4 linked regions of the Oreochromis niloticus genome follow. The protein of the gene in region 1 interacts with the protein of each later gene in a pairwise test. Links are inferred from orthologs where the notes say so. Each region holds a gene or a part of one and is shown in the gene's direction. Other genes may lie near its edges. The genes, in order: tceanc, ssna1, obi1 and csrnp1b.

The links.
Region 2: the proteins of tceanc (region 1) and ssna1 interact in binary tests that used the Homo sapiens proteins (3 or more experiments, as listed by UniProt). The two-hybrid records come from large-scale screens. The link is inferred for Oreochromis niloticus from reciprocal best matches to the Homo sapiens genes TCEANC and SSNA1.
Region 3: the proteins of tceanc (region 1) and obi1 interact in binary tests that used the Homo sapiens proteins (3 or more experiments, as listed by UniProt). The two-hybrid records come from large-scale screens. The link is inferred for Oreochromis niloticus from reciprocal best matches to the Homo sapiens genes TCEANC and OBI1.
Region 4: the proteins of tceanc (region 1) and csrnp1b interact in binary tests that used the Homo sapiens proteins (3 or more experiments, as listed by UniProt). The two-hybrid records come from large-scale screens. The link is inferred for Oreochromis niloticus from reciprocal best matches to the Homo sapiens genes TCEANC and CSRNP1.

The regions. Positions count from the first base shown.
Region 1 is NC_031986.2:14,111,412-14,119,417, reverse strand, and holds the start of tceanc (transcription elongation factor A N-terminal and central domain-containing protein), read left to right. Parts: upstream 1-5,002; 5' UTR 5,003-5,149; intron 5,150-5,306; 5' UTR 5,307-5,311; coding exon 5,312-6,283; 3' UTR 6,284-8,006.
Region 2 is NC_031972.2:31,110,604-31,118,356, forward strand, and holds ssna1 (microtubule nucleation factor SSNA1), read left to right. Parts: upstream 1-4,749; 5' UTR 4,750-5,237; coding exon 5,238-5,289; intron 5,290-6,283; coding exon 6,284-6,483; intron 6,484-7,397; coding exon 7,398-7,490; 3' UTR 7,491-7,631; downstream 7,632-7,753. UniProt on the Homo sapiens protein: Microtubule-binding protein which stabilizes dynamic microtubules by slowing growth and shrinkage at both plus and minus ends and serves as a sensor of microtubule damage, protecting microtubules from the microtubule-severing enzyme SPAST.
Region 3 is NC_031965.2:14,861,712-14,868,823, forward strand, and holds the start of obi1 (RING finger protein 219), read left to right. Parts: upstream 1-4,105; 5' UTR 4,106-4,348; coding exon 4,349-4,420; intron 4,421-4,579; coding exon 4,580-4,715; intron 4,716-6,989; coding exon 6,990-7,081; intron 7,082-7,112. UniProt on the Homo sapiens protein: E3 ubiquitin ligase essential for DNA replication origin activation during S phase.
Region 4 is NC_031974.2:17,921,592-17,929,516, reverse strand, and holds the start of csrnp1b (cysteine/serine-rich nuclear protein 1b), read left to right. Parts: upstream 1-4,918; 5' UTR 4,919-5,097; coding exon 5,098-5,103; intron 5,104-7,925. UniProt on the Homo sapiens protein: Binds to the consensus sequence 5'-AGAGTG-3' and has transcriptional activator activity. May have a tumor-suppressor function. May play a role in apoptosis.

The DNA.
Region 1 (8,006 bases):
TTCCCATAAGGCAGAGCATGCGTCCAGTTGGTGTGTGTGTGTGGGAGAGAGAGGAAGGGGGGTTCATGGGAAAACAAATGTGATGAATCAATGTGGATAATTATTTGTGCAGGGGAGGAAACATATGGTTGAACCCTCAGAGGATCAGAATAGCAAAATCAATGCTAAAATTTTCTCTTTGGTACAAAGGGTTAACAGAGGCAGTTATACAAAAGGAAACAATTTAATGAAACTATTTCAGAGTGTACACTTTGAGCTCCCAAGTTTGCTTTGAACTGCTATCAAGTGCTGCGTCACATCCCCAGAGGCGCTATGAAATTGAGTTGCTTACAAAGCACCTTGCACAGCATTGTTTCACCATAATCAAGAAAAGGGTTAGAGTGAGTCTCGTGATTCTGCTTTGACTCCGCTGTTGAGCAAAGCACAAACAAGTCACAATCGTCTGCACTTCCTCATCGCTTCTGATAGAACAGAGTTTTTTTTCTTAATCAAATAGGAAAAATATTATGATCAGCAAGAGAAGACACAGCAACTGCGCTCTTAGCGGTTTCATGTTTGGGGAGGCTCATTTCCTGCCTCTGGGTTTGCAGGACTCCAAATAAGCACAAGCTAAAAAAAACCCAAAACATGACATTTTGTCTATACTTTGCCTCTTTATAACATTTATTAACCCCCCCACCCCCACCCCCACCCCTTACTCCTCCTCCTCCCACACAGACACACACAAATAGAAAGTCCAGAAGCACCAAAAAAATCTTTGCAGAGCTTCAGACAAAACAGAATGAACCCTGAGGCAGAAGCAAAGAGAAAACAAACAGAATCCAGTCCAGTCATCAGTGATTACCCTCAAGGTAATGACGGATGGGAAGGGTATGATGGGTAGGGCACTGCCAGACAAGTCCCTCTCAACACATGCACACACACACACACACACACACACACACACACACACACACACACACACACACACACACACACACACACACACACATGACCTGTCAAGAGCATTAAGCATAGATACAAAATAAGAGTTGATTTTGCTCTCACAGCATAAAAAACCCCACAGTCTCTGTCGCATGTGTTTTTACAGAGAGAGATCACATAAATAAATAAAACACATCATTTTCATCATATTTAATAACATCTGAAAGGCAAAGCACTCTAATTATAGAGCATTACATGATAAAACTTGTTTCACTTTAAACAAATAGGATACAATCAATAAAAATGTTGCTGTTTGCAGTAAAATTCACATTTTTTTCCTTTGGAATGTCAAAAATGGGAAGAAAACAAAAAAACATTTCCTCTTCCCCCACCGAAAAGTCAGATCAGACTTCTGCCAAAAAAAAAAAAGCAAATATGTGTAGCTCTTCCTGTTTTCTAACCTTCTCTCACCCTGTTAAGAACAAGGCTTATTATTGCACTGACACTGGCTGTTGTAACTCAGCACCATGTGACTGATGATTTCTTATAACACCTTTTCACTTTGTTGTCTTTCACACATGCACTTGGCAGCGTTGGGGGGTATTTTCAGGTCGTGGTTGCGGGTGCAGGGACTTACCATGTTGTCATGAATGTCTGACCATGAAAAAGCTGATCACTCTAACAAGAAGGCCATGCTCCTCCTCAGAATTTCTCAAGCTCAGGGCGGGGTAGTGTGTGCGCGTATGTGTGTGTGTGTGTGCTCAAGCGTACACGCCATCGAGAAGGCGGGGACAACAAAAGCAGGATGTGATACAGCAGGACTCCACTTCCTCATAGGCTCTGTTCAAACCAGCGCAGTGCAGAGAGCGCCACCTCTCGGCGCTCGGCTGTCACAGCAGCTGCGTGCTGGTAAAATTCCACTCCCAGTGATAAGAAAGTGCACAAGTGCAAGCAGGCCGCACTGAAATGACTTGATAAGATGCAAGGTGTCTTGTGACTCTTGTGATGGAAATCACTCGTGTTTGTTTGAGGGTTCAAAATTCAGCAGGTTTAATGTATTTAACCACAGAAAGAGGAGTTTTACATGTGTTCACTGATGGCTCAGCCGGACCCCACCCATCTCAATCCACACCTCGGTGGGGGTCAACACTCAGGACCCTTCTACATGTGTGAAAGGTTGGAGTTTTAGTTCACAAAATCCACTTAACAAAAGAAAGCTCGCTTACAGAACCTCAAATATCCCTCACAGCACATTTCCTCACACGCTCAAAGAAAACTCCTCAAGCCAGAGAAGAAAAGTTAAACATTAACGCTGCTAAAAGCCTCCTGGAAGCTTTAACTTCCATTTGGGGTTTTAAAAGCAGCTCTTTGAACTTGAGAACCAGAAGCTATTATGCGAAGAGACACCGAATCAATTTTCCCTTGAGGCCTCCACTGCTATCGGCCCCAGCTGCATGAATCTTGAAAGCACATTTTAATGTAAGATCAGGAGGGTGATGTCACACCAGCAGTTGCATAATGGCGCCCTGTTCATGTAATTACATTTCATCTGGGCTTTTGTGTATGAATAATAACATATATGATTTGGCAGGACTATTAAACGTGCTTCAGTGAATAAAAAGCTCATTTTGATATAAAGGCAGCTCGTGGTTTCTGTTTATCTTTAATTTATGAATGCAATTCACAGTCAAAGGAGTCTTGGAAGGCTTTACAACTTCTGCCACTGCAGCTATCGCCAAATTTGTTGAAACCAGCACCTCAGATGTGAAAATAATACTTACAGAAAAATACATATATTCTCGAGTAACTTATAAGGGGCTGTACAAAAATATTTGTCCTTATAATTAAGATTTTGAAAATGTAGAGGGTTTCGTGCTTTGTTTCTTGTGTAAAGGAACTCCTTTTGACATCATTTATTTTTATGCTTACCTTTAGCCTTATGTTGCAAGATAAGTCGCTATAATCTACTCTACAATATCCCCCACACCATTACACCACCGACTGGTTGTACAAGCCTGCAGGATCCATGCTTTTATGTTATTTACTCCAAATGTGTACTACTATCTGAATGTTGCATTAGAAATTGAGACAAACCAGTCAATGTTTTTTCAATCTTCTAATGTCCAATTTTGGTGAGCTCTTGTAAATTGTAGCCTCAGCGACCCTGGGTGTGGTCTTCTGTTACTTCAAGGTTTGATGTGTTGTGCATTCAGATGCCTTGCTGATGGCTGAGGTCAGAAAGACCAGACTGCTTTGACCTGATCGAAAGGCAACAGTAACTAAAATAACCACCCATTACAAGCAAGGTTGTGATGACAACCAAGGTTGTAATGAGCATCTCTGAATGTAAAGGTAAAAAAAAAGGCTACAACAGCAGTAGACCACACCCGGCGCCACTCCTGCCAGCTAAGAACAGAAAACTGAGGCTAAGATTTTCACAAGTTCACCAAACATTTCTGCTCCAGCATTTAGAATTTAGCATAAACAACATCCAGCCTCAGTTCAGGCTGCTGGTGTTGGTGTAACGGTGTAGGGAATGTTTTCTTGGCATGCCTTTCGACCCTTGAGTACCAACTGAGCCTTATTTAAACACCACAGTCTACTTGAGTGTTGTTGCTGACCATGTTCATGCTGTCATGACCACAGTGTACCATCTTCTGCTGGCTGCTTCCAGCAGGATGAAACACTGTGTCACAAATATCCTTCACAGTCATGAGATCCCAGCGCGATGCAGCACCAATGAGATGTGGTGGAACAGAAGATTCACATCATGGAGCCATGTGCAGCCAACAAATGGATGATGCTATCATGTCGATATGGATCAAAAACTCTAAGGAATGTTTCCAGCAGCTTGTTGAATCTATGCAACACAGAACTGAGGCTGTTCTGAAGCCAAGAGGGTCCAAACCAGTACTAGCAATACAGTTGGTGAGTTTACATTTGGTCTTCTTTGCTCACCATAGAAATGGAAAGCACTAACTCCTTTTCGTTATATTATTTTAGTAGTTAGTATGAGTGTGTTCGGGTGAGTCAGTGCTGCATGTTTGGAAACAAAAAATGATGATGAATGTGCCGTGCTGTTGGGAAAAAGGGAATAAAGCAACAAAATAGGCAAACACAGACTAAATCAGCCTCCTTCATCACTTCAGCAATTTCCGTACAGTCCATAAAGCCCTAAAGGTATTATTGAATTGTTTTGTCAATGCTCCCATTCAGACAACATCCAATTAATACATAATCAACCTTTCAGCCATGCAATTAAGCCTGCATTTTTCTCTCATTCACGTCACCGTCGATGGTGTGATTACATCAAACCATGTTCCAGGCTTCCACGAAATACTAACAACTACCTGCGAACTGGTGCGTCCGCTGGAACTTTTCTGGTCTTAGCTCCACAACCACGAATTATCCTAAACACTCATTCATCTTCTTCCATCAAAACATGTAATTGCAGCACAGCTGAAAGACTTGCCTCATCTTGTCACGAGATCAGTTCCACTGAATTCCTGTCTGGAGGTCATTTGGCTGCTTGGATGCGAGGATTACACGTTTCTGCACGCTGAACCAAATATCTTTCATCTCGATCTCAGGAGCTGAAAAGAAGGAACATAAGGCTATAATAATAGCCATTAATGCAACACACATTTGAAATCGAACACTTTGTCTGGACGACACCCTCAGCTCCTCGTGTGGTTTAGCACAGGTTCATCCACATTTGTTATTGTGGGAAAAACAGGAAAGAGGCGTTAAAATAGACAGAAGTTTGGCCGTGGGAGTAACCTGGAAAATCCAAAAGCACACACCTAAATCCTCACATAAAGCACTAATCCCACAGTACATTTTAGATAAAGCACAGACTGACAGCACAGCTGGAAAGCTCTGCTGGGATACTTTCAGATTAAACAGGCCGCAGTGTACTGATTCGGGGATTCATGGTGACACTTTCATTGCAAAGAGGTTTCATTTGTAATGTTGCATTAATCCCTGTTTTTAGGGGAAAAAAGATTGCATACATACATATATATAGTTCCATTTTAAGAAAGTGATGGGAAACTACCTGCACTACCCTCATGCACACATTGACTTTGTGAGGCTACAGCTCCATCTAGAGGTGAATGCTGGCATTTTTCTCCCGTGGAGACACATTCAACATGGCTGCTCCCATGTAGACGTTTGCTAGGCTCACTGTTAGCAGGAAGAAACTGCAAACCATGAAGGAACTCAGGTAAACATGTGCAAAAGTCTATTTTAATGTGTTGCTAAGTGGTACATACTGCTGTGCTTTCAGGAGAGCAGTGCTTCATTTTGCAGTGAGGGGCAAACATCACCACATTAAGAAAAAAAACATTCATTGTTTCATCTTTACTTTTGTGTCTTTGCAGCCACAATGGATCCAAAGGAGATGCTCCGCTGTGCTCTTCAGATAGAGAAATTCAGTGCAGACAGAAGCTATGGGAACATCATGACCCTCCTTGGTGACCTCCAGAAGTCTCACGTCACAGCGGAACAGCTGGAAACAACTGACATCGTCAAAGTGCTCTACAGGCTCCTGAAAACCTGCACTGATGACAGCGTGAAGAAGACAGTCAAGAGCTTGCTGTCCGAGTGGAAGAGACAGTACACGAAGGACAGGCAAGGGGTGAAGTGCACAGAGGAGAGCGAGGATCCTGAGCTCCCTGCCAGTGTTTCTTCACCAAAAGAAGCCGTGGGTGGTGCGGTTTCTGCCCAAACATGTGATGGTGGAGAGGGGAATGCTGCAGGAGAACCATCATCTATGCAGGCTAAACCTGGACCCAAAGCTCATACTTCTGCTGCATCTCCAGATAACGTGAGAACCAAATGTGTGCAGCTCCTCCTTGCTGCCCTCTGCCCCTCTGCCCCCGATCAGGACAAGGCTGCTGAGTTGGCCCGAGACATCGAGCGGCACGTCCACGAACTTCATAATCACAACCAGGTCAAATATAAAGCCTGTGTGAGGAGCAAGGTGGCCAACTTGAGGAATCCCAAAAGCGGCCACCTGCATCAGGGCCTCCTGAGTGGCTCCCTGTCCCCCGAGGCCTTCGCCCGCATGTCTGCGGAGGATATGGCCAGCGCAGAGCTGCGGCAGCTGAGGGAGGAGTACTCCTCCCAGGGCGTGAGTGAGAGGCAGCTTCCTCAAGGGATAGAGGGGACGCGGACGGAGAAGATTCGATGCAAAAGATGCGGGGGGTCAGACTGTAGGGTGACGCAGGTGTCCAGAGGGGTTCTGTTCTTGCCTGCGTGGGTGAGGCAGGGCGGCCCAGATGAGGATGCAATGACCTTTGTGACCTGCAGCGGGTGTGGCCAGCAGTGGTACCACAGCAGCTGGGTCTGCCTCTGAATCCACATGGATAACATACATGACTAAGAAAGCTAAGAGCAGGTTAACTGATAATGAAAATAACAGATTTTTAACCATTTTGCACAAGAATCATGCTGTGTAGAACTTTCATTAATGATTTACTTTCTTATTTTTTGACATCTGTGGAGTTAAAAATGTTCAGAAATCTGGAACATGACCTTCTTGGATTCCTAGCTCAGATACTCAGTGTTGCTAGTTTTGAAATAATACATTTTGAAGGCTTTTCTTTACACATTTACATAATAAATTGACTTAAACTGCCATTGTTGCAGATGAATTTCCAGCCATTTAGTTGATTGGTTGTTTCAGCTGTTCTGCCCACTGTAAAATTGCACTTGTTTGAGTTGGTTTTCCAAGTTTCACCCCTAGTTCACAATTTGGTATTATAAAGGCTTTCCTGTGACCAGTTAAATGTTTTGAGTGTTATAAACTCAGCTCTGAAACAGGAGGATTGGTCACATGGGATGCAGAGTGGAAACTTTCCTGCAGGATGAAGTGCATACTTGTGGTTTAAACCAGATTTTTTCCCATAGGATTTGTGCTTTGTCTTTCATGCATTGACCACTAAAACCCACAGCTGAAAGCCTAAACTGTATCTTTACCGGCTGAAATGCCAAGTCATTGCAGTCTCCGACTGAAACCATGGATTTTCAAGAAGTAGCTGTCGTCATCTTCTTCCCGCTGAATCATTTCCTGTGTCTCCACTCTCTGTAATAGCCCTTCATTTTATTTCTACTTACAGTAGCTCATTTAACTGCTTTTACTGGCCGCTCTCTCTTACATTACTGATCTAAAGATCCATTAATGCCTTGACCACTGGCTTCGCTAATGTTTAATTTTATAAGTTTTATGAAAAAAATGCATTATTTTGCACTTATTGTCAGTATTTCTGAGTATTAACACGGTGGGGGAATTCTTTAAAACATGCCTCTGCTCTACAATATCCCATTCATTTGTAGCAAACTGAATCCAGCAGATGAGACATGTGACCCCTGAAGAACTCCGAGCATGTGAGCCAGTAATCTGCCCTCCCTAGCAGCCGGAGGGGCGGATATCCCATGGTGCTCCAGCCAGCGTGGCACAATGACTCACATACACGTCACTGTGATGTCACATGAAGCAGTCTTTTTTTGTGTGTGAAGATATTACAGAGAAAATGACTTATTTTTATCCTCAGCTGTTCTTCCTGCGTCATTATTTATGTCACGTCCTGGCCTATTGCATCTTTTCTGATTTTTGCAGCAGGCCGAAGGTAAAATGGCCAAATATGAAAAAAACCCCCATATCTTTCTATCGTGTTTGGTATCTCGACGCTGGTGCATTTGTCTGTATTCCATCCCCTCTCACGTGCTCCTTATCTTTTAAGTAGATAAGGAGCATTTTAGTGACGTGCCCTGTCAGATTGATGCTCTGCAGCCACATACAGCTGTGGTGAGAAGTTTACATCCACTCATCAAGGGCATAACTGTGATGCTAGTTTTGGGCTTTTAATGATTTCTTTGAGCTGTTCTGTTTTCAGGGTGGAATGATTGTACGGAATTACTCTAAAGAACAATCATTTTAATATTTTAATAGGTGGTGCTGTAGGTTCTACAATGTCTTAACAAAGCTAAGGCCTATTAACTCCTCATTAGGGATTATGATTGGGTACAGAAGGGAGTTTATCTTTACAGCATAAAAAGGATTTGTTTGACAGCACTCA
Region 2 (7,753 bases), on another chromosome or scaffold:
GGCACACAGTGGTGTCACCACAAACCTATCACCATTTTTAATACTGCTGCATCAATATAATCATCTAACGCTCATGTCTTTAACCCAACTATGCTGGTTTACAAAAATTTGCACAACAAGCCCAAACGAAACCAAAGTATGGCTTGAGCAACCAGACGTGATGTTTCGGTGAGTATTTACTCTATGCTACAGATACTAATGCCTCACTTACACTATGATGCAGACACAGAAACCCAACAGCCAAGTAGTCCTCTTTGTTGTATGGCTTGAAAGTCCACCTGAAGTCAAGTGCATGTGGTTGCAAAAAAAACAAAAACAAAACAAAACAAAACAGCCAGCCAGCCACAAACCCTCACACTACACTCACCATCTGATGATGAAATTTATATCACAGGGAACCACACAGACCCTGTTGGTCTCGCGAACACGTAAACTATAGTCCCACCCTAAACTGGTGCAGTTTTAAAACTCAAACAGGGATAATGCTTAAAGTTGGTGATACAAATAAGATTCTGGGTTTAGATTGTGACTCTGGAAGTGGGTGTAAAATTGATTTAGTTTGGTTCATTTATTCAAACATTCATTCAGGTTGCCTGTTGATAACCAATCTGATAACCAATGTGTCTTTTAATCTTTAAAATGAAAGGTCCAACATTTCATTCATATCATTTCTATCACATGAAAAATAAAGCCTTCCAATTCCACCGACTGTACTCCAACATGGTGCCTGAAATTATCAGCTTAAAAGCATCAGACTGGCGCGCATATTTCCTCATTTTCCTCCTTTTTAAAATAGGTGAAGTGGCCGTTTGAGGGCAAATGCATCAAATAACAAACAAACAGTCACTCACACACCAGCTATGCGCGTAAACGGAAGTGGCTGCACAGCTCAATGCCCTACACCTTTCTCTGCTACACCTCGAGATACTCTCAGCACTGTTGGAGCGACCTCTGCCGAACAAAGCAAGGATTCCATATCGACCATATCTACTAAAAAGAAATGAAGCACCAGAGAATGAAGCTGTGGCAGCTTTGCACATGCCGATCAGCTGAAATGATCCACCTTCACCAATAAAACCTTCCTGTAAAAGCAAATCAAATCAATGCACCTACAAAACAGCCAGCAGCACTGAGAGCCGTGACAATATCCAACACAGATCAGCCTTCACTCGAAGAATAATTCAAATCATAATTAAAAGGTTAAAAAAGATAAATAATGAGTGAAAAGGTGAATCCGGATCTGGCGCCATATGTATGCAATGGGAGGCTGTTGCAGCTCTGCCAGTGCTGGCTTCATTTGACTGCATCAGTTACAGCACACCACCGTGGAGATAGCATTATCAGGCGAGCGTTTAGCCGCACTGTTAGGGAATAAATGGAGACCGATCGGTGTAAAGGGGACAATCGCAGGAATCCGGGTTTTTTTTAGGAATTTAAAAGTGAGCATTCTGCTGTTAGCTAGCATCGCTGCTAACAGCTAGCTACAAAACAGTGTACAAATTAGCCACCAGTGAGCCGGCGACAAACAGTGCAGCAAGAACTGTGAGAATATTGGCTAAAAAGGCAAGTTTAAGGTGTGTATGTGGTTTATTTTGAACCGCTAAAGCTGGACACAGGCAGGACAGTAACACAACCCGGCACCATGTATAATCAGACCCCGGCAAAAAGCGAACAACGTGCCTGCGCCGAGTATTCATGTTCCGGGGCGCAGCATCTTCCTGCACATTCAGTTGCCCTCCGGTCCAGCACAAAAGCAAAAGACTCCAAGGCTGGCAGTGGCCAATTTAACGCGAACCGACAGTTCGACACCGGCGGCTCGGCCGCTCTGAGGGGGGTGGTCCACCCGTCGGGACAAAACATATTTTCCGAGGAGCGGAAAACAGGGCAAAAGTAAAACAAGCTTGGCGCAGAAAAAGCTCACACACTCACCTCGGTCCCAACCGAAGCCATGGTGCCTGGACGTAAACTCCGCCCACCGTGGAATTACGTCACATTTATTGATGCGCGCACTGAGTTACAAAAGCCACACCTGAAGGCTGCTTTTGAAGAGCTTCTGTACTAAGACGGGATATCAACGGCTACGAAGGACAAAATGAGGGGCTAACGAGGGCAAGTCGAACAATTTATGGGGGAAAAACGGCAAATTTCCCAGAACAAAATTTGGAAATATACAAGGAAAAGCTCTCAAATTTCTGAGAACAACAACTAATTTTTTTTGCAAATTTAGATGGAAATTTTGTTAATTAAATATTTACGAAGACAAAATGGAAACGGTTACCAAAATTTAGAACAAAAATTTAGAAAATAAATTAACAAAGAAAGAATTACAATACAAAGTCACACATTTACTAGGAAAAAATGGCAAATTTACTAAATTTGGGGAAAACAAGGGAAAAGTTGCAAATTTCTAGGAATAAAACGTACAAATCATGCTTATTAAACATTCTGCTTTTGAAAGGTTTCTGTACTCCACAACAAAGACTTTGCAGCTGACCAAACACACACATCCACACATGTGCAATAACACTAAGCGCAATTCTCTTTTTCTGACAACATTGTACTTTATTCTGTTGTATATAGCATTTTATTCTATTCTATTGTGTACAGTATCTTATTCTTATTATCATATCCTATTCCAGTGTGTTTTCTTAATTTTTGCTACTGTAACTTTGCACTGTCCACTTTCTGCTTTAACAAAACAAATTTTCCCACTTGTGGGACTAATAAAGGTTATCTTATCTTAGACTCTTAGAGGCTATGAAGGACAAAACAAGGGGCAAAGAAGGACAAATTGAAAAATGTATGAGGAAAAACTGTCAATAGGATAAAACACAAGAAAAGCTCTCAAAGTTATGAGAACAAAGTCAGAAATTTTATTTAAAAAGTTGCAAAGCTAATTTAAAACTTTAAAAAATCAGATAAGATAAGACTTTATTGATCCCACGGTGGGGAAATTTGTGCATTACCACAGCTCAGGTACCAATAGCAGAAGAATGCAGAGTATACCAAGAATATAAAGTCAAGAAATAGAAATACACATACATCCATACACACTAAATATACACATATATATATATATATACATACACATATACATGCACACGTCCATACATATATAAGATGCATGATCATGACATCATGAGGAGGAGTTATGGAGTCTAACTGCTGTCGGGATGAATGATCTGCAAAAGCACTCCTTCCTGCAGTGAGGGTGTTTCAGTCTCTGACTAAAGGAGCTGCTCAGCGCACTCCCAGACTCATGCAGAGGGTGATGTGGGTTGTTCATGATGGATGTCAGCTTTACTAGCATCCTCCTCCACAGACTCCAGAGGACATCCCAGCACAGAGCTAGACCTCCGCACCAGTTTGCCAATCCTGCTCCTCCTGTCCCTGTTTGTGCATCCACTCCCCCAGCAGGCCACTGCATAGAAAAAGGTGGATACTACCACAGTGTCATAAAATCTCCTCAGCAGGTGGAGTTGACTCTGGCCCTTTTTATACAGGCCGTCTGTATTTGTAGTCCAGTCCAGTTTGTTGTTGAGGTTAACACACAGGTACTTGTATGAGTCCACTGTCTCAATGTCTTTTCCCTGGATGTTCACCAGTGTTGTAGGGGGTGACTTCCTCCTGAAGTCTATGTACATCTCCTTCATCTTGCTAGCGTTGATTTGGAGAGCATTGGTCTCACACCAGCCGACAAAGTCACTGATGACCCTCCTGTATTTCTGATCGTTTCCATCTGATACGCATCTGATGATGGCCATAACATCGGAGAACTTTTGTAGGTGGCAATGGTCTGAATTATAATAGAAGTCAGAAGTTTACAGGCTGAACAAGAAGGGTGAGAAAACCGTGCCCTGCGGTGCCCCGCGTGCTGCAGGTTACCACGTCGGACACACAGTCATGAAGCCTCACATACTGTGGTATGTGAGGGATTGCTGCAACAGGTACATGACAGCGTCATCCACCCTAATTCGACGCCAATTTCAGACTGGTAGGCAAACTGCAAATCTAAAATTATTAAAATAAAACCTGAGTTGAACAGTAACGTGTGAAATGTTACAACATGTCATCATTTATTTAATAAAACCTAAAATGCAGAAGCAGTGTGTGAAAAACACTGATTCAGTGACTTGTAGGGCCACCTTTAGCAGCAATAACTTTAAATAATCATTTTCTGTTTGACTTTATCAGTCTCGCACATCGCTATAGAGGATTTTTTTCTTTTCCTGTGCTGCACCAGTCAGACAGAGCACTGGACACCCTCACATACTGCTTCCTGTCTGTCATGTACTCAGTAATATAGCTTCTTTCTCAGTAGCAGCCGCTGAGAAATCTCCCAAACGTCGTGAATCCGAAAACATGAGAACTAGACGACATAGCAGTTTTAAATTTATACCATAGATCTACTAAAGATCTACTCAAGGTCAGTGGTCAAGTTTTATGAAAATCTTGTAAGTGTGATCACTTCAGGTGATGCAGTATTTTGAAACTGATACCACAGGTATATCTGCTAGGAGGCTGTGGGGTAGCACTGACAGCAGCCAATATTTTTACTTTCTCCAGATGTGTACTCTGGATTGTGCTAGTACTGGATGTCTGGATAACCCTTAACAGCAACTTAATTTAATAGTAGGTTTTGTTATCCGCCAGAGGGCGCAAGCCGGACATTATCGGTGTTAAACACAGTGGAGAAGAAGGTCAGATATCTCTTAATATAAGAACTCTCACTCTATCGACTTCTGGTTTGATAGGGGGCGCTCATGAGATGGTTCCAGTAACGAGTCGATATTATATAATTTCGAATTCATTATTATTGCCTTGGAGAACAAAACTAAAATAACATTTTGGCTGTTTATGTAGAAGCATTTGCAAACGATTGCTTTAGCTGTTTCGTTATAATTACTCCTATTCCCTAAGGTCTTGGTCGTGTGCGCCATCTGCTGGCAACCTTCTAAACTCCAGTTCATTTCCACACAATGTTTTTAACAGGAAGTGGACTCTCTTCCAAGTTGTCGTCTCTGGTTGGGTGTCCGGTAGTTCCTCCTGGGTTTGAGTTGTCTGGGAAACTCGCCATGTACGGGCTCTGCTTTCATAAGGTTTGCTGAATAAACAGTGCTGAATATTTGGCCCACCCCGGCTTGTTTAGGTCCTAGGGATAGATGACGAGCTAGCCGACCGAGTACCTCGCGTTTAAAGTCAGATATAATCCGGTGAAGGTTGACCTAAAATTCGACATGACCCAACAAGCTGCAGCTCTGCAGACCTACAACAACGAGCTGGTCAAATGTGAGTGAGCCTATTTACTGTCAATAACACATTAGACTGATTAGCATAACAGTGTTAGCGGTTTAAATTTAAATTATAGTATAATTACTGGTTAATATATGAATTACGCATATTTTCCTCTTGGTTTTGCCTATTAAATGACTATCGCGCTTTAATTTCACAAGAGAATATGTAGACCAAGCATATTGTAGCCTGCACTGTCACCAGAGAACAATACTCGGATTTCCTTCTTGTGTTAAAGTTTATTGTGTCCTCCTTATGTGTAATTTGTAGCATTTTTATTCAGCTGGTTTGTCTTGTCATATTGGTTTTATTTTAATGAGCTATTCTGCGGGCCGGAGTTGATCCTTTGGGGAGCCGGTTCTGGCCCCCAGCCTGCAATGTTGACACCCTTGTGTTAAAGCAAAGTTTGCTGCCTGTAATTTTGTCTAAAACTGAAAATAAGTGCTTTTTTGAGAGGTTAACCTGTGATGCTGCACCTCGCCTAATAATCTGATTAACCTCCTCAGATCACCTTTAACCCTTTGCACTCCGCACTGGCGCGAATGGTGTTAACAGGTATCAGCTCTGAGTGCTTGCTGCAGTTTAGCTGTATGTCCATGTGACACTTTTTCTTCTTCTCTCAAAAGTATTAGAAGATAAAAGCCCAGTGAAGCTGAAGCTTGTCACTTGTCAGGTGTTGGTTAATCTGTTTCTGGTCTGCTGGAATTAGGGAAGCACTAATCCTACTTTTTTAGTCTTGGTATTGATAGCGACTAACCTGCAAGTGGCTAAGCCATTTCACCCACACAAATGAAATTTAAGACCAGTATTTTACTGTTGTTTACCTAATAAGTGTGTTTAATTTCAGATCACTGTGAAGGTTTCCCTTGTTTTCTGTTTACTATATCCATGTCTGTGTTTGGGCTGCGTAATTATGGCAGAAATCATCTGTCTGAGTCCCGAGGAGATCTACTGAGGCTCTAGTTTAATCCCACCTTTCCCTCCCGATCAGGTATCGAGGAGCTTTGCTCGAAGCGGGATGAGCTGAACCGACAGATCAAGCAAGAGGAAGAGGAAAAGGAGCGGCTGCAGCATGACATCCGTGTCCTCTCGGAGAAGCTGAGCCGAGTCAATGAGAGCCTGACCCAGAGACTCGCCGCACGCGCCACCTTTGACCGCACCATCGCCGAGACGGAGGCTGCATACACCAAGGTGCGTCAATGACCGAGCCTGCAGTGGTTTTCATATGCTGACTGTTTGTTTACACAGGTATTTAAAGGGAAAATAAAATAAAAAATTGAAAATTCATGTGGCTCTTCTGCACAGTTAATCAATATCACATAACAGGTGCATGGTGAATGGAGAACAAACGGAGCTCTGCATAACAGCAAAAAAGTATCATTACAGTCCAGCAAGAATTTCCATGTTGACTGATGTTCTGTATTATATATTATTTTGCATTATACGGAGGTTTCTTCCCGTTAAAAGGGAGTTTTTCCTTCCCACTGTTGCCAAGTGCTTGCTGATAGGAGGTCGTCTGATTGTAGGGTCTTTGTAATATAAAGGATCTTATGTAGTCGCACCATGGCTGCTTCTACCTTGTGACAGAAATGTTCTTTCTAACTCAAAATAGCAAGTAATTTTTGGCACAACAGCCTCATACCACAACTGCTTCTCACCCAAGTTTGCTGGGTAATACCAGCTGCAGAAGTTCGGAGGAAGGAGAGGCGGGGGTGGGGGTGGGATACTTTTATTAGTGCATGAGTAATGGATCAGTGGTTATAAGATGCTAAAACAATAGCTGTTTGTTGGACTGTCAGCATCAACCAGAAAACCTCTTAGTCTCAAGCGTTGATTCAAGAACTAATTAAAAGTTGGGTATGGCCACAGAAGCTTTTGACTGCTGTACTGGATGTCAGTAAGATCCCACCTGCTGACGCTGAACTCCCTTTGTGCTCTCACTTAATCACTGTAAACAAACACTCCCGAGCTGCTCTGATTAAAAAACAACAAGTCAGCCAAGCCTGGACCCCTTCTTTAATTGCTTCTAAAGTGCACTCCACACTTCCTCTGAGTTTCTGCACAAGTTAGTTCATGTTGTTTTGTTTTCGTTTTAACTCCTGCAGATATTGGAGAGCTCCCAGTCTCTCCTGAGCGTCCTAAAGCAGGAAGCAGGAAACCTCAGTAAAGCCACGGAGCCTCGGAGGACGGAGCACTGAAGGCCAGGAGCAAAACTGTGCACCTGACCTCACCTGACTGTGACTTCTGAGGCAGTTTATTCCCCACTTTGGACTAATTTTTAATATATTTAAACCTTTGTTGTAAGTTTCTGGATTCAATAAATGTATTTCCTAACATTTTTTTTGTGTTAAAACTCCAATTTGTTTGTTTTGCTTGTTGAGTGAGAGGCATAGGCCAGGACTCCTTGGTTCTCATTCAGCTTAATTGGCATTTTCCAGAGACCACCAGCAGTGGCAGGTCT
Region 3 (7,112 bases), on another chromosome or scaffold:
GAGAGAGAGAAAAGCAGAACACTACATGCCGAGTGAGAGAGGGAGAGTGGGGAGGCAGTCTAGGCAGGGGGTATCAGGCTAATTAAAGCAAGCATTTGTCAGAGATTAAGCCTTAAACAGAAAAGGTCATCTGAGCACCAGAGCACACTGTTTCGCTGCTGTGCTCTTAGGGCAGTCTAAACCTTTCCCAGCTAAATGGTAAAGATGCTATTTGCCAGAGATGGGGGAGGGGATCGAGATCCCGACCAGTGACAAGAATGACACTTGGGTCATTGGTTCTTCACTGTCCATTACACATGCTGGTCAAATATGGCAATCGGTGTCATTTAGGGATGAAAAATAAGTGCTGGGACAAGATCAATAGATGCAGCCGTCTGTGCCGGCTGTGATTAATTGACTGTCACCAATTAATGACTGGCCTGTTGCAAAGCAAAGCAATCGCAGTGGGACAATGGGTATTTCTTTCATTTTGGCCTGATATTGGTTATTTTAGGACAAGTTGCCCTGAAGTAAATTCATTAACCACTTCTTTTACAGTTTTGCAGGTTTGCTGTGGCACACTGGAAAGTGCCTCTGACAGCATCTTGTGTGTAAAGCGTACTTTGAAGTTGTTTTCAATACTGGGATTAATATAGAATTATATGAAAGCTTCCACATAACATCCACACTGTTTTTTTTTTCAGTCCAATCGGATACAGTTACTAAAAATATTTGAATATGTTCCTGCTGCTTCTCTTTCAGAAGTCTGTATACATTAAAATATTCTCATTGTTTAGGGATAATGAAGAGTAACATTGAATAATGGCATTTAAATTGATTCTACACTGATGTCGCTCTCTAACTGATTTAACTTAAACATATTCATCACGTACATTTACTCCAAATGTTCTCTGGTGGTATGAAAAATGAGTGAGAACACATGGAAGCCTGTGATCCACTTAATAGACCACTAAAAACAATCAAACAAGTACTGGTGATGTTTTCAAACTGGGATCAGTGTACAAGGTTATTTTGAAGTCAGTCAATTCTAATCATATTAGATCTTGAGAAGATGTCCTGGCTTAAGATACAATGTGCACAGGACATGTTGGTTTAGATATGAGTAATGGCTTTGGGGGGCTAAGCTGTGGGGCAGATGTAATTTGAAATACTTGTAGTGGAAATTATGCTAATATTCGGTCACTCTGTATTGTTATTTATAAATTAGATCATTTAGGCTTCACAAAATATTGCAATGCAATTGTTTTCTAACTGAATGAATGAGCTATTTGTTGCATCTATTTAAGAGATTTTCAATTTGCCGTTAGTTTCTGTCATTCATTTTTTTCCTTTTTTGTACGTTACTGTGAATTATCATTTTATAAAAACTATAAAGATGGAAATCCGAAGCTAAATATCTTGTTGTTACTGGGAGTGTATTGACCTATAGTGACCGATTTTCTTAATAATTTCTACCTAGTAAGTCATTCTTTACTTCAAGTTTTGCCAGAAGTTCATTGTGTAGTGAGTTTACTAGAGAACAGCTATATTTGTTTACAGTGTAACCCAAATAGAAAGCGTTTGTGCTGCTGTGTATCTGAAAAGTTAATATTTTATTATTACATTGTTTTTTACTACACTGAACCACTGAAGCCTCTTTCAGGACTTTATTTTCGAGGTTCATTTTTAAAATAATTTACCAGTATAATCTGTGACATGCAAATTACACCCAAAATTTCAGCATTCCCCTGGATGAAAGGTAGCTTTATAGATTTTTATAGGGAATACAGCTGCCTTGCCCATCAAATCCAGCAGTGTATTCTGTGAAGGAAAATGTTGTAGTTTGCATCATATGTGCACGTGGTCATATTTGCATTGCAAAATGCAGTGATGTGCAACTTTCCCAAATACAACATAGTAAACTTGAAAATAGGAAATCATGTTTGCAAACTATATTTGGAAAAATATTGATATGTTAAATTGGTTTTGCTTTCCCAACAAATTATTAATGATAACCCCAATGTATTAATTCAGACAGAAGACCTATATTATGTGAAAAAAGTTAATTATTGTTGTTGTAATCATCAGTGGATCCTCAACACATACAAGCTTGCTTAAATGAGCTCTGTATTTGGAGCACCAATAATCAATGCATTTCTGTTAGGTCTAAAGCCATTAGGACTCATTGCTGGAGGTCTCCACAGTGAGTTCTTACAAACATTTGTAAAAACATGTTCTGTAATATGTTTAAAAAAATACATTTTGCATTTTTTTCATGGTTTCCATGATGTCAAACTAAAGAAGGAATTAATAAAGTACAACCTTAAAAAAATTCTTTAAACAAACTGTTATGTGAAGTAAAGATACTGTATCAAGGCACCAGCAGATTGCTCTCAACTTAGCAATAGGCCTCATGGCTCTAATGGGGAACATATTTTAAAAAGTGTAAATAATGCATTTAATAAGACCTGAAACTAGTGATCGAAAGTGTTTACTGGGGTCACAGACATGAGAACCCAAACTGTCATTTTCCCACAGACTTTAGTACAACTGGACTTCGTTTTAAAACCTGATGAGAGGTCTCCTTATTGCCACAACAAAGAACACTGGTTTAAGGCTATTAAACCATGGTTTCATCTTTCAGGCCAGGAAGGCACATCCATCTTGTATACACAGCTGTGAAAACGCATTTGCCACTTTCCTGATTTCTTTTTATTTCTTTTTGTTACTGAACAGATTTTAATATCAGACAAATATAACCTGAGTAAAAAATAAAAAATCATAGTTTTTAAACTATGACTTTATTTATTAAGGAAAAAAAAAATTATCCAAACTTATCTAGCTCTGTGTGAAAAAGTATTTCCCCCTGAAACCTAACAACTGATTGTGTCACCCTTGGCGGCTAGAACTGCAATTAAGCCTCTGCAATAGCTGTAAATGAGGCTTTCACATCACTGTGGAGGAATTTTGGCCCACTCTTCTTTGCAGAATTATTTTAATTCAAACACACTGGAGGGTTTTCAAGCATGAAAGACCTGTCAAAGCATCTCAATCTGATTTGGGTCCAGACTTTTATTAGCTCACTCCAAACCTTCTTTTAAAGCTATTCAGAGATCAATCTGCTGGTTGCCTTTTAGATCACTGTCCAAGTGAACTTGAGCTTCAGGGTGTGAACTGATGGACATTCTCTTTGTAGTTTTTTTGATAGAGAGCCGAATTCATGGTTCCATCAATGGAACTGGAAGCAGTCCCAGACCATGACACTACCACCACCATGTCAGGCAGACTGTTGATATGATGTTCTCTTTATGAAATGCTGTGTTAGTTTTATGCCACAATTAATGGCATAAGACCTTTCAAACTTCCAACTGTTGTCTTGTCAGTTCAAATATTATCCCAGATGTCTTGGGGATCATCAAGATGTTTTTGGATACTGTGAGATGAGCCTTTGTCTGAGCCTTTATGGTCAACTTTGTCAGACAGGTTTCATTTAAGTGATGTATTTAACAGGTCTGGCAGCATTCAGGCCTGGCAGTGGCTAGTGAAACTGAACTCAAACATGTTTCAAAAAAATGGTTAATCACAGTTACTTTATGATAGCGGGGAGTTAATTTTTCACACAGTGGCAAGTAGGTTTGGATAGCTTTTTTCCCTTAATAACTCATCAATTAAAACTGCATTTTGTATTAACTCAGTTTATGTTTGTCTGATATTAAAACCTCTCTGATAATCTAAACATGTAAGGATGACAAATATGCAAAATAAAGTCAGGAGAAGGAAAATACTTAAAAAAATGTTTACAGTATGTATATACAATACAGAATGAACCACAGACAGCTGTAATGTCTGGTTTTATCGCCATGACCAATTATTGGAATATTGTGCTACATTTAATAAAATTATTGTATGCAGCACAGCATCACAAGCAAAGAAGCAAAGTTAGTTACAAGCTACGTTGTGAACATTGTTACTACACAATCAACATGCCACTGTTTTACACAGCAGCTGGCAGGGAATAAACAAAGATATGAAAGTGGACAGTCCACATGACTTCTAACGCTTTTCTATTTCCGGTTTAAAATAACTGGCAAGTGATAAAGCTACTGTGCCCCGGTTTAGCCGTGACTAGAATACATTAAAGCAAGATACTTGTGTATGTCTTCTTCACTGTGAAACCCAGTGAAGAAGACATAATTTTAATATTATAAAATTACGGGTGAAGGTCAACTGTTACCTGTTTCGCGAAGAACCGCCTTTTGACCCCTGTGGCTTTCCGTAGCTGTGCGGCTCGGCGCGCGACGCAGCGGTTTGGTGGGAGATTTGTACCTCTTCAGGGAAGTGAGCTATATGACCTGTACGTTCATGAAAAATGGCTCTGAACTACCAGGCATCTACCCTCTCGCTCACTCTGCCAATTTCCTGCCAGATATGCCTCGGAAAGGTAAGTGTCGTTCGATTTTTTTAACCCCCTCGTTAGCGCCTTTCGTTTGTTAAACAAACTCAGCAAACTGTTTCCTACATGAGTTAATCGGAGGTGACCGTTGTTTGTTGTGTTTGGTTGTGCTAGTGGGTTAATTTGCTCGTGTTTTTCTCGGTGCAGGTTAGGCAGCCGGTTATTTGTTCCAACCACCACGTGTTCTGTTCATCCTGCATGGAAATGTGGTTAAAGAAAGCTAACCAGTGTCCCACCTGCAGAGTCCCCATCACAGCAGAGAACCCCTGCAGGGAAATCATCGGTGAGTAGTTGCGGGCAAACAAAGGAAAGCAGGCTTGAAGCAGAAGAGAAGAGGTGATCTGCCTGCCTGCAGCATCTCACAGCTGAGTCTTCTTTTCATTGTGCTCCCAACAAAGCACGGCTTCAAGTTTTGCAGGCAACTTTCTATGAGCCGTGACGTTTGTTTTGTTAGTAATATCCCCAAGTTGACGATTTCAGTTAATAAAGCAGGTTGGATCATATTTAGTGAGATTGCTTGTTGCAGCTTTAGAGTAAGTCAGCATAAAAATGACTGGTTTATGAACTCTTGTGTTGTTTGCAGTGTTTAAGCGTTTGACAGGGGCTGGGGGGGCCATCCTTTCCAAATGCTTATTGGAAAACTGTTGATTTTCTTACTGCAGGCTTGTCTTCAGTCTGTAAAACTGTATTCCCTTATCCACAAAACAAACTGGCTACAGTTTATGCGGGCAAAGGTAGCATGAGGTGATATATCTAAGACAGTTGTACTGAAAAATAAATGTTTTACGTTTCATTTGAACTTGTGTGATGCATATTTGAATATATGATTTTTATGTATTTAGTTTTAATCATGCAACCCTGTTGTTTTCGAGCATTTTCTCTCTATTTTTGTTGGCAGCAGATCAGTTTGGGTTTTGTTGTAACAATACCAGACAGTACTCACTGACATACAGACATATAGCTAAGCTTAGCCCCGAAAAATTGATTCAGACTTGATTGTTTCAGTCATTCACGGATCTGTTTCTTGCAAAACAACCTTTTTGTTGACTTTTTATTGCAGTTGTTTCACCTGTACTGCTGGAATTTTAATATCAGTCACTGGCCACTTGATTAGATTCACTTGTTGATGCATATATCCAATCAGTCAGTCACATGAGAGCAACACAATCCATTTAGACTCACAGATATGGTCAAGCGAACCTGGTGAAGTTCAAATAGAGCATCAGAATGGGGAAGAAATGTAATTTAAGTGACTTTAAATGTGACATGGTTGCTGGGAGTTTCCCACGCAAACATCTCTAGGGTTTATAGAGAATGGTCTGAAAAACAGAAAATATCCAGTGAGTGACAGTTCCCTGGGTGAAAATGCCATAATGATGCAAGAGATCAGATGAAAATTACCAGACTGCTTAGAGTTGACAAGAAAGCAATAGTAACTCAAATAACCACCTGCTACAACTAAGGTATGAAGAAGAGCATCTCTGAATGCACAAGTCCCACCTTGAAACGGATGAAACACCAGGTGCCGCTCCTATCAGCTGTGAACAAGAAACTGAAGCAACAATTGATATGGGCTCACCACAGCGGGACAGCAGAAGACTGGGAAATTGTTGGCCGAGTCTCGAGTCTTCTGCTTTGATATTTAGATGGTAGGGTCAGATTTTGGTGAAAACAACATGAATAGATCCATCCTGCCTTGAATAAACTGTTTTCAGGCTGTTGTTGGTGTAAATGCACAGAGGATATTTTCGTGGCACACTTTGACTCCCCTAGTATCAGCTGAGAATTGTTTAAGCATCACAGCCTTACCTGAGTGTTTTTGCTGATAAGTGCACCACTTTGAGTACTCACAGAGTACTCATCTTCTGGTGGCTGCTTTCAGCAGGATAACACACCATATCATAAAGCTCAGACTGATTTCTCAAACATGACAATGAGTTCACTGTACTTAAATGGCCTTCACAGTCTCCAGATCTTAATCCAGTAGAGCACCTTTGGGAAGTGGTGGAATGGGAGATTAACATTATGGATGTTCAGTTAACAAACCTGCAGCAACTGTGTAATGCTATCATGTCAACATGGACCAAAATCTCAGAGGAATATTTCCAGCACCTTGTTGAAACTATACCATAAAGACGTGAGACAGGAACGTGTGACAAGATTAAAATAAAGAGGGAAATCATTCCCTAACTTTAACCCCATTTGGTCTTGTTTTGTTGTTTGTTTGGTAAATACATTTTAAAAACAAACAATGTTTGTGCTAAAAAGAGAAAATGTGACCAAATTACTAAAAGGAATGTTACAAATGATGGTCTTCTCTTGTGAAAATCAGTCACAATTTCCCCATGCACTTTAAATTTGCCTGCATTTTAAATGGCAGCACCTCAAGCCTTGAATGTTATTCAGTTTTACGCTTGCCTCTTTATTACTGTAATGTTGTGCTAAGGTAACAACGAAGCCACATAAAAGCCAGCTGATGTTACTTGGAACATTACTTAAATGTGTTTTGTGGTCTATTGTGTTAATCATTTACTGTACTTGTGTGCTTGTGTTACAGGAGGAACAAATGAGGGTGATCACAGTGATAGTCCTTCTGTGAGAAAATGTCTCAGAAAAACCAGAGGGGAATTACTTTTACGCGAGTATGAGGTATTGGTTTTACATGCTCTGTTATGTTTAG
Region 4 (7,925 bases), on another chromosome or scaffold:
TAATGCAGTCATGTCCAAGTGTACAAAACTGGATGATTTAGAGGGCTGTATTGTCCCTAGAAGATGATGAGGTGTGCTTTCTGCTCAGGTTTTTAAAGTAATCTTATTAACTAAACACTTAGGTGGCGAATTGCGCCTTCTGCTTGAAATCCAATAAGTTTGCCTCTTGCAGGCTTTTGTTGGCAAAGTCTGCTTCCTCGAGAGTTCCTTTCACTACTTAGGTCTCATCCCCTGTAGCCCTGCCGCTTGTTTTCATAGCTGTGATGAACTGCGCCCTGAACTCTTGCACTGGTTGCCCTCTGCAGTGAAACACAATGCCATGTGCCTCTATCACACTCATGTCTGGGGCTACAGGTGACCAGCTGTCTGCTTGTATTCCTCTCCTCTGGGACAGCTGGAGCCATCAATCAGCTCACCCCCTCCAACCCCACCTTCCCCGAGCCCCATTGTGCCCGTCTGCCTGGTCTGACCACCACAGCAGCACCGTCAGACTCATCTCATCTGCTCTTTCGCTCCTCCGGGGAGCGCTTCTGAACTTCCACGTAGTTGCGAATTCATGCTTATTTCCAGGCTTTCAGGACAAGCTGTGCAAATCTCTCGCTGTCTCTGGTGTTGATTTTTGGTTTGAGTACTTATTGATGAGTTTGGCATTTGGCTCCCATGAACTTGCCCTTCATCTAACAGCTAGTTTTATGACGCCTCTGATGGTCATAAATTGATACATTGTTGAGCCCACTCCACACAGCACGTGCAGTCACAGTCCTTTCTCCCTCTGCAGATGGAAAGCATTGAAGCCCATTATTGTGTTCTTGGAGGGGCGTCTTCCACCATGAACTCTTTGGCACACTTTTAAAGAGAGTGGCCTTAATGTATTCAGGCCTGATTCACAGTGGCTTTGGCACTACCGCTACCATCCCCCCAGCCTACACACACACACACACACACACACAACTCTTTTTCTTAAAAGAGAGAGTAAACATGTGTGAGTCGCACTGTTCCTTGGAACTTTTTCTTGTTTATCAAAAAGGGAATTGATGAGCCTGACAGGGAACTTCAAAGGGGGACATAAAAAAATTCTGTTCACCTCAGGTGAACTTTGTGAAGGACACTTGATCAAAGAGCAGAAGGACCCAACACTTGCAAACTAAAACTTTTTATATGACCCAGATTTGCCTGTTGCATAATGCTTGTCTGTCGGAACAACATTGTTGAACCTGTGTCAGTTATCTGAAGTTTGCCAGCACTGCTACTATAATTAGGCTAAACCAAACCGCAGAAGTGGCTGAGCGAGCGTGTCTCCAAGCTCTCCGAGCCTTGTCAAACAGAGGGCTAATTGTGAATGTTGGTAATTATTAGGTATTTTATAACAAAGAAAGCAGAATTCCTCGGTAATGGTGACTGCTGCCTCTGCTCATGTGACTGTCAGTTTCTTCCTCTGGACTGTGGACAGTTCATTGTTGTGTCTTAAAGAGCTGCAGGGCGACAGGGAAACTAATTGGGTGGAGTATGTCTGGACATACAGACTCCCAGGCTCTCTACCGGAGCGTCGCTGTGCCACACACGCATGCAGACACACTCACCTTACTCGATTACACACCTTTGACGTGTGAAAACAAAAACAATGATTACTATAAAGCATGCAATCCGGTCAGCGATAACAATAGAGATGGCACTATTAAATGTTTATTTACATCCTCAGTTACTTAACCTTGTGCTTTAGAAAGATGTAAGTTAAAGGTGCCTGATATTTCTGTCTGATATTTATTCACTTTTATTGTAACTGCGCATGCCTTTTTTTGTTTGTTTTTACAAACAAGCTTCGTGATGAGCAGTTATCCGTGGTTTTTACCATGTTTATTATCACAAAGCCATTCAGTCCTGTTCCAGTGGTAATTTACGGCTCCGGTGAAACTGCTGCCTCCAAAGCAAACGACGTCAAGTAAATCTACGTGTTTGCATTTGTTGGGTGTTATTTTAGCACCACTTATTCTAATTTGAATAGAGAAACTCTGTGTTTTCAGCAAGAGCTGCGGAGGGACTGTTTCTGCTGCCATTCGGCTTGAAGTGCCTGTTTTTTGCTTTCAGGGTGGGGCTCTAAGTGAGTCCCTCAGGCACAGCAGCTAGTGAGAAAAGGGTCTTCTTTAAGGAGGACACAATTTGCATAGGTCTATGTACACAGCTTTCGGAGACCTCTCCCCAAATATCTGAGTCGAGCACCTGTATTGACATTGGCAGAACACTTTGTCTCAGGATTCAGGTCCAGCTGAGAATGAAAGCAAACCACCTCAGCGTGCTCGCCGTGGGCAGCTAGAGTCGCAAATACCTGAGAGGACTTTATCAGCTGGGGTGGGGAGGGTGTGTGACGCTCCTGCTTCATGAGAAAAGGGTTGCAAATTAATCCCATCAGTGATTACGACACATAGAGTTGTGTTGTAATCCCACAACTAAAAGACATGACGTAAAAGAGTTGATGATACAGTCTTGATCCCTGGGGTCAAAAGACAGGGTCAGCAAAAGAAGTAATTTACTGAGTTGTCTGGTAAGTTAAATGTATTTAAGTGGGGCCATTCTGCTGTTACACAGTTTGTTTTATTTAACTGAGAGCAAGAAAGAAAACAAAATTCAGAGAAAACTATGGTCCTAAAAAGTAAACAAATGAAAGGAGGAAGGAAAGTAAGACTGAAATTAAGAGGAAACTATCACCCCAAAAATAAACAAATGAAAGAAGGAAGGAAAGTACGAATGAAGCTTAGAGGAAACTATTGCACTGAAAAAGACTCGAGGGAAGAAGAAAGGAAAACAATATGGAAATTATGAGGAAACTACTGCCATGAAAATGTAATAATAAAAACACCTATTTCTTTTCAAAATAAAAGCATATATATACTACTAGTGTACAAGTGCCAAAAACAATTATTGTTCTTTTTTGTTTTTCATTTCATAATTTTGGAGAAGTAATTCTGAGAACTTGAAGTGTCCAGACAATAATCCCACATACACTAACATACAATAACATAGTTGTTTTTAAGGATTAATAATGATAAAGTTTGTGGTAAGCTAACTGATACATGTACCCATGTGGTTTGCTGACAGATCTAAAGTGGTTTCAGCCTCCTTATTTAACCCAACTTTAAAAATAACACATCCATGTAAGGTCATTGTGTTTAAGTACAAGACAGGTTGTCAGCGCTTACATCCAAGAGGTTAACAAAAAAAGAAAAACAGAAAATGTGAGCTCAGCCTCCCTCAAAGAAAGCCGTGAAACCATTACTCAGGATGAACATGCAGTTTCTGGGGCTTTCAAACTCATCTCATTGCCCTAAATAAACACAAAGCTACTCAAGTTACTTTGTTAACCAACGTAGTTAACTAAACTGTTTTCACCATGTGATTTTTTTAAAAAAAAGAAGAGAAATCATTCCAGGACAGTAGTTGTGATTGCTTGGTTATGATAAGAGGTGGCGTTTCCTCTAAAGCCTACTTCACTTTTGCGTTCCATGTAAAAAGAAACTGAGTCAGAATTTCATGCAGCTTACTCAGTGTTTTCCTTTAACTGGAAATAAGCCACGCCGTATACAACATTTAGGCACCACCCACGTTACAATAACAAGACTTTTATCTGCCTGGTGATCACACAGTTTGTGACTGCTCATCAGCTGCTAATATAGAGAGGAACCTGGGGATTCCTATAACTGCCTTTAGAGTATTTAATAGTGAGTATGTATTAAAAAAAAGGGGGGGTAAAAAGAAGAAAAATGTATTTTATTGTGTTTATTTGCATCAATCTATTACTATAACTACTACTCCCAGGCTATTATTATTATCATTACTATTATTATTATTATTATTATTATTATTATCATTATTATTATAATTATTATCAGTGACCACCTGAGTTTTCTCACGCAGGTAGTAAGGACTCAAACCAAACACAGGAGGACGGGCAGGAAGCGGCGTGGGCAGCCTCCTTGTGTCACCGCCTGCGTCAGACTAGACGCCAGGAGGGAGTTTTCCACTGACGAAAAAGCCTGCGCTTCTCGGCAGTCTGCTACAGACAAGGGAAGCGCTTCAGCTGGTACGGACCCCGTGCGGCAGAGAGGCACAGACAATAGGAGAGAATTTTCAAAAAAGGCTGTGTATACGCGGGGGATAAGCGCTACGTTTATTCGTGCCATTTGGATTACTTCCACCGTTAACACCCGTCGGCTGTTTTACCCAGCGTGACTATTCGGTGACTGATGGTGATCGGATACTTGAATTGGTGGTGAGTACAAACAGAATCGGGAGTTTCGCTGCTGGGTTATTGAACACCGTAATTTACGCGTTCAACCTCAGCGGAGGGAAGGAGGGGGGAAAGCCAGATAGTTTGACTGTTTATTCTCGTGTGTCAGGAGTCGTTTAAATGCCCTGTGCGGTTTGTGTTCTCTGTGCGTCTGTGCGTGTCATCTCTGGTGTGGTTTTATTCGCTTGATTTCTTTTTGAACACTTTGCCTGACGCTTTATTGGAAATGGACGCGGCTGTGGTGGCCCCCGCTAGTTAAAGTTGAGTTTTAATGAATTGTTTTCTGATGGCAGCACACGGGTGCTGGCACTCACGGTAACGGGAAAGAATTAAAGTCATTTAACTGATTTTCTTGTTAAACGCGAGATTCCACGACCCGCTTCATTCACTTGGTGATTGATTTATTATTTGGTTTTAGATTGATCGCTGATTAATCGGCGTTTTACAAACTTCACGGCTCACGCCGGGAAAGCCGTGCTTCCCACCGCTGTGGGTTTTCGGCTGTGGATTCATTTAGGTGATCTGAACTGTTGATGAGGTCGGCTTTGTGTATTCAGCCCGTGCGGAGTTGTTCTTGTTCACCTCGGCGGTGCTGGTGCGCCTCTTGTAACTAGAGCGACTCCTGAAGGCACTACATCTGAGCACACAGCTGACGGGCTGCTGTCATTAGAATTAGCATTAATCATGAGGCATGATCGGGTCAGCTGGGGGAGAGAGCCGGCTGGACTCGTACGACGTGCCTGTTCGACCCGATATAATTATAGGTTTTTAATTATTATTATTTTTTTCGGGGTGGATTTTTAGCGATTTGCCACATGCAGGTAACAGTTCAGGCTTTTAGCCAGGTGTGGACAAGGAATGTGGAGCTCCTTCATTGTTTGATCAGTTTTCCATCACTGCATGTGGATCTTTTTTTTTAATTTTTTTTTTTTTTTTTTTTACATGCGTAAATGACTGAAGTTTCTAATTAATTTAAGTACTATAAAGAGAAACGAATGTTAATGTGGTTTGTTTTTTTTATTGTTATTCTCATCCAAAGGTCTTGATTTATTAATGTTATTATTTTTTTCCAGGTGTAACACTGCCCTCTGGGGCTCTTATTTATTTATTTAATCTTTGGACAGTGTCTGTTTTCGATAAAGCGACTGAGTCGATTTAATCGTCTCTAGCGCGACCTCACCCGGATCATTTTTGGAATCATGTTTTCTGGAATTAGGCTGCAGAGAGCTGAATGATCCTTTGTTTACTGAGAAGGAATACAGCACTTGGTGCTGTGCACTTAATGTCTAAGGAGGGTTCAGATGTGTTAAATAAGTCTTTGTCTGCGCTTATTTAACATCATTTTCCATTTATAGCACACATTTTGCACCCACGTCCCTCTTTTAAAATAACAATTGACCTGTTTGCTGCCTTCTCATTAAAACTGCCAATGCACTCCAAAATCCTCTCAAATGATTTGAAGGAATTCGCAGCACAGCGAATAACATCCCCACCTCCTAACTGCCTCATCTCCATCGTGTGATCCTGCATTCAGTTTGCCTTGTGGTGCCTGCAGCTGTCAGACACAGCACAGATAATCTGGATGGCCACTTCCTGTGCACTGCAGTGCATGTTTCACAACCTCAGGAAGCTCATGCACACTTTTAGTATCTGTCTCCCCAGCTGGGAGAGGCAGCAGCCGCATGCTGGGTTCAGACAAGGTTCTCTGTGCCTGCTTCATTTTGGTCACGCAGGATGGCCCCACGCTTTTGTGCCTGGAGACGAGGGTGGAGTGGGGGTGGGTGTGTGTTTTAGTGTGTGTGTGTGTGTGGAGGGGGTAACATGGAGCCTGCTGACAGTCTCCAACACAGCAGCCGAGAGCTCCCATCTGCTTTGTCCTCTCAGCATTCCATACAGCAAGTGTCCCAGACTGGAGCATGACCCCTGAACCCGCAGCCACTCCCCCTCCCTCCACCCAAACACACACCCAAAAGCTGCATGTTTTCTGCTTGTGGACTGTTATTCTAAAAAGGTTTTCTCAAAGTTTGCTGCTGTGCACTTGGCACAGTTTCTGATATTTGCAAGTGTGTTACAGAAAAATCAAAGCTGCATGTCATTTTGTCTGCACAGTGAATGCCATTCGAGGAAAAGAGTGGAAAAACCTGTTTTTGCCTTCCCTTTAAAGCAGGAGTAAAGCAACCCAAAACAGTATGAGTAAACAGTCCTCTGCAGGCATCACCTGGACATTCAGGTTTGGTCTGCATAACAGATTAATGGCAGCCTGGGGCATGTGAAGTCCACGTGCAAGTTAATACCCTGTCAGGTGTGGCTAGGAAAGGTGGCTGGCTCAAGTGTCTAATGGGAGTAGGACTTTCCAGTGGTTAGCAGTAGAAAACGCATCTGGGTTAGATAGAGCCTGTGTTCTTCTTCCACTATTACTGCGGGAGCAGTGCTGCCAGAATGGAATTCCTGTGGCTTGGAGACATGACATTATTTATTTGTTTTGTACAGTCCTCCCTCCTTCTTCCCACTACCTCTCCTTTTTGGAATCGCGCTGTGCACGGGTCAAGGCAGAGGAACAGAATGTTTCTGTGGCACAGTCACAGCAAGCTTTGGGGCTTCGGTGAGAACAACAGGCTTATAGAGGAGAAAGCGGGAGCGCTCCCTGCATTGTTCCAGCAGGTGGAGCGCTTCTGACTAACAGCTGACTTCATATGAAATGAGCCAGTTTCCCCCAGCTGTGCAGGAGCTGGAATCCAGCCCATCGTCACCTTGACGGCTTTGATCAATTATCTCCCGTCCTCTCGGTGTCAGAACTGGAAGTGAGAGGTGCAGTACCTTGAAAGCCTGCAGGGGCTATCCTGCCCAGACACGGTTCCACACACATGGGAAGGCTCCCAAGCTCATCATTATCACATTTTATGAGCACTCAGTCAGTCATTCAGACACTGCACAAGGCTGTCAGTGTGCCATGTAAATGCTCCCGGCTGGCTAAGATTAGTGCAACTTGTCGCTCCCACCCACACGGTTATCAGCTGCAAAGGGGCTGGACAGGCGGTGCGAGGGGGCAAAGTCAACTGTGACTTGTCCTGATGGCTGCGGGGCAGACGGGAGCAGTTCAAACAGGGTGAAAGTTGATATCTGCGCAAAACCAGAGATGTGTATAAGAAAACTTTTATGAGTCGGTTCTTTTTTTTTTGTGATTCTGATTAAACTAAAGCTTTCCAATAAGTTAGGATGATAAGATTTAGCGTGGCATTTTACCTTTTAGAAGTAATTCAAACTCTTTTACATCCTTCTCAAATAATTTAATACTCCTTTATAAAAGGGTTTGAGGGGCTGTCTGCAGATTTAAAATAAAAATGAATTGAAATTCTAAAGTCGTACAAACAGCCCCGTAGCTGGATGTATCAAGATAATCTTATTCAACTGACATAGTTATGCATCTGACTTGAGCTGTGTAGTGCTTCTGGTGACAAATCTCCTCGCCAGAGATTTATCTTTCCAAGTCTGTGACAACTGGCTGGGGAGCACCTCGGTGGATGCGTCCTTTATCTGCCTGCCTGTGTGCGGTTGATGGAATGACAGTGATGCATAATTTAGCGCACGCTGAAAACATGCTGCGCTCCCTCTCTGGCTCGGCTGTCCGATCACATCCATTCTC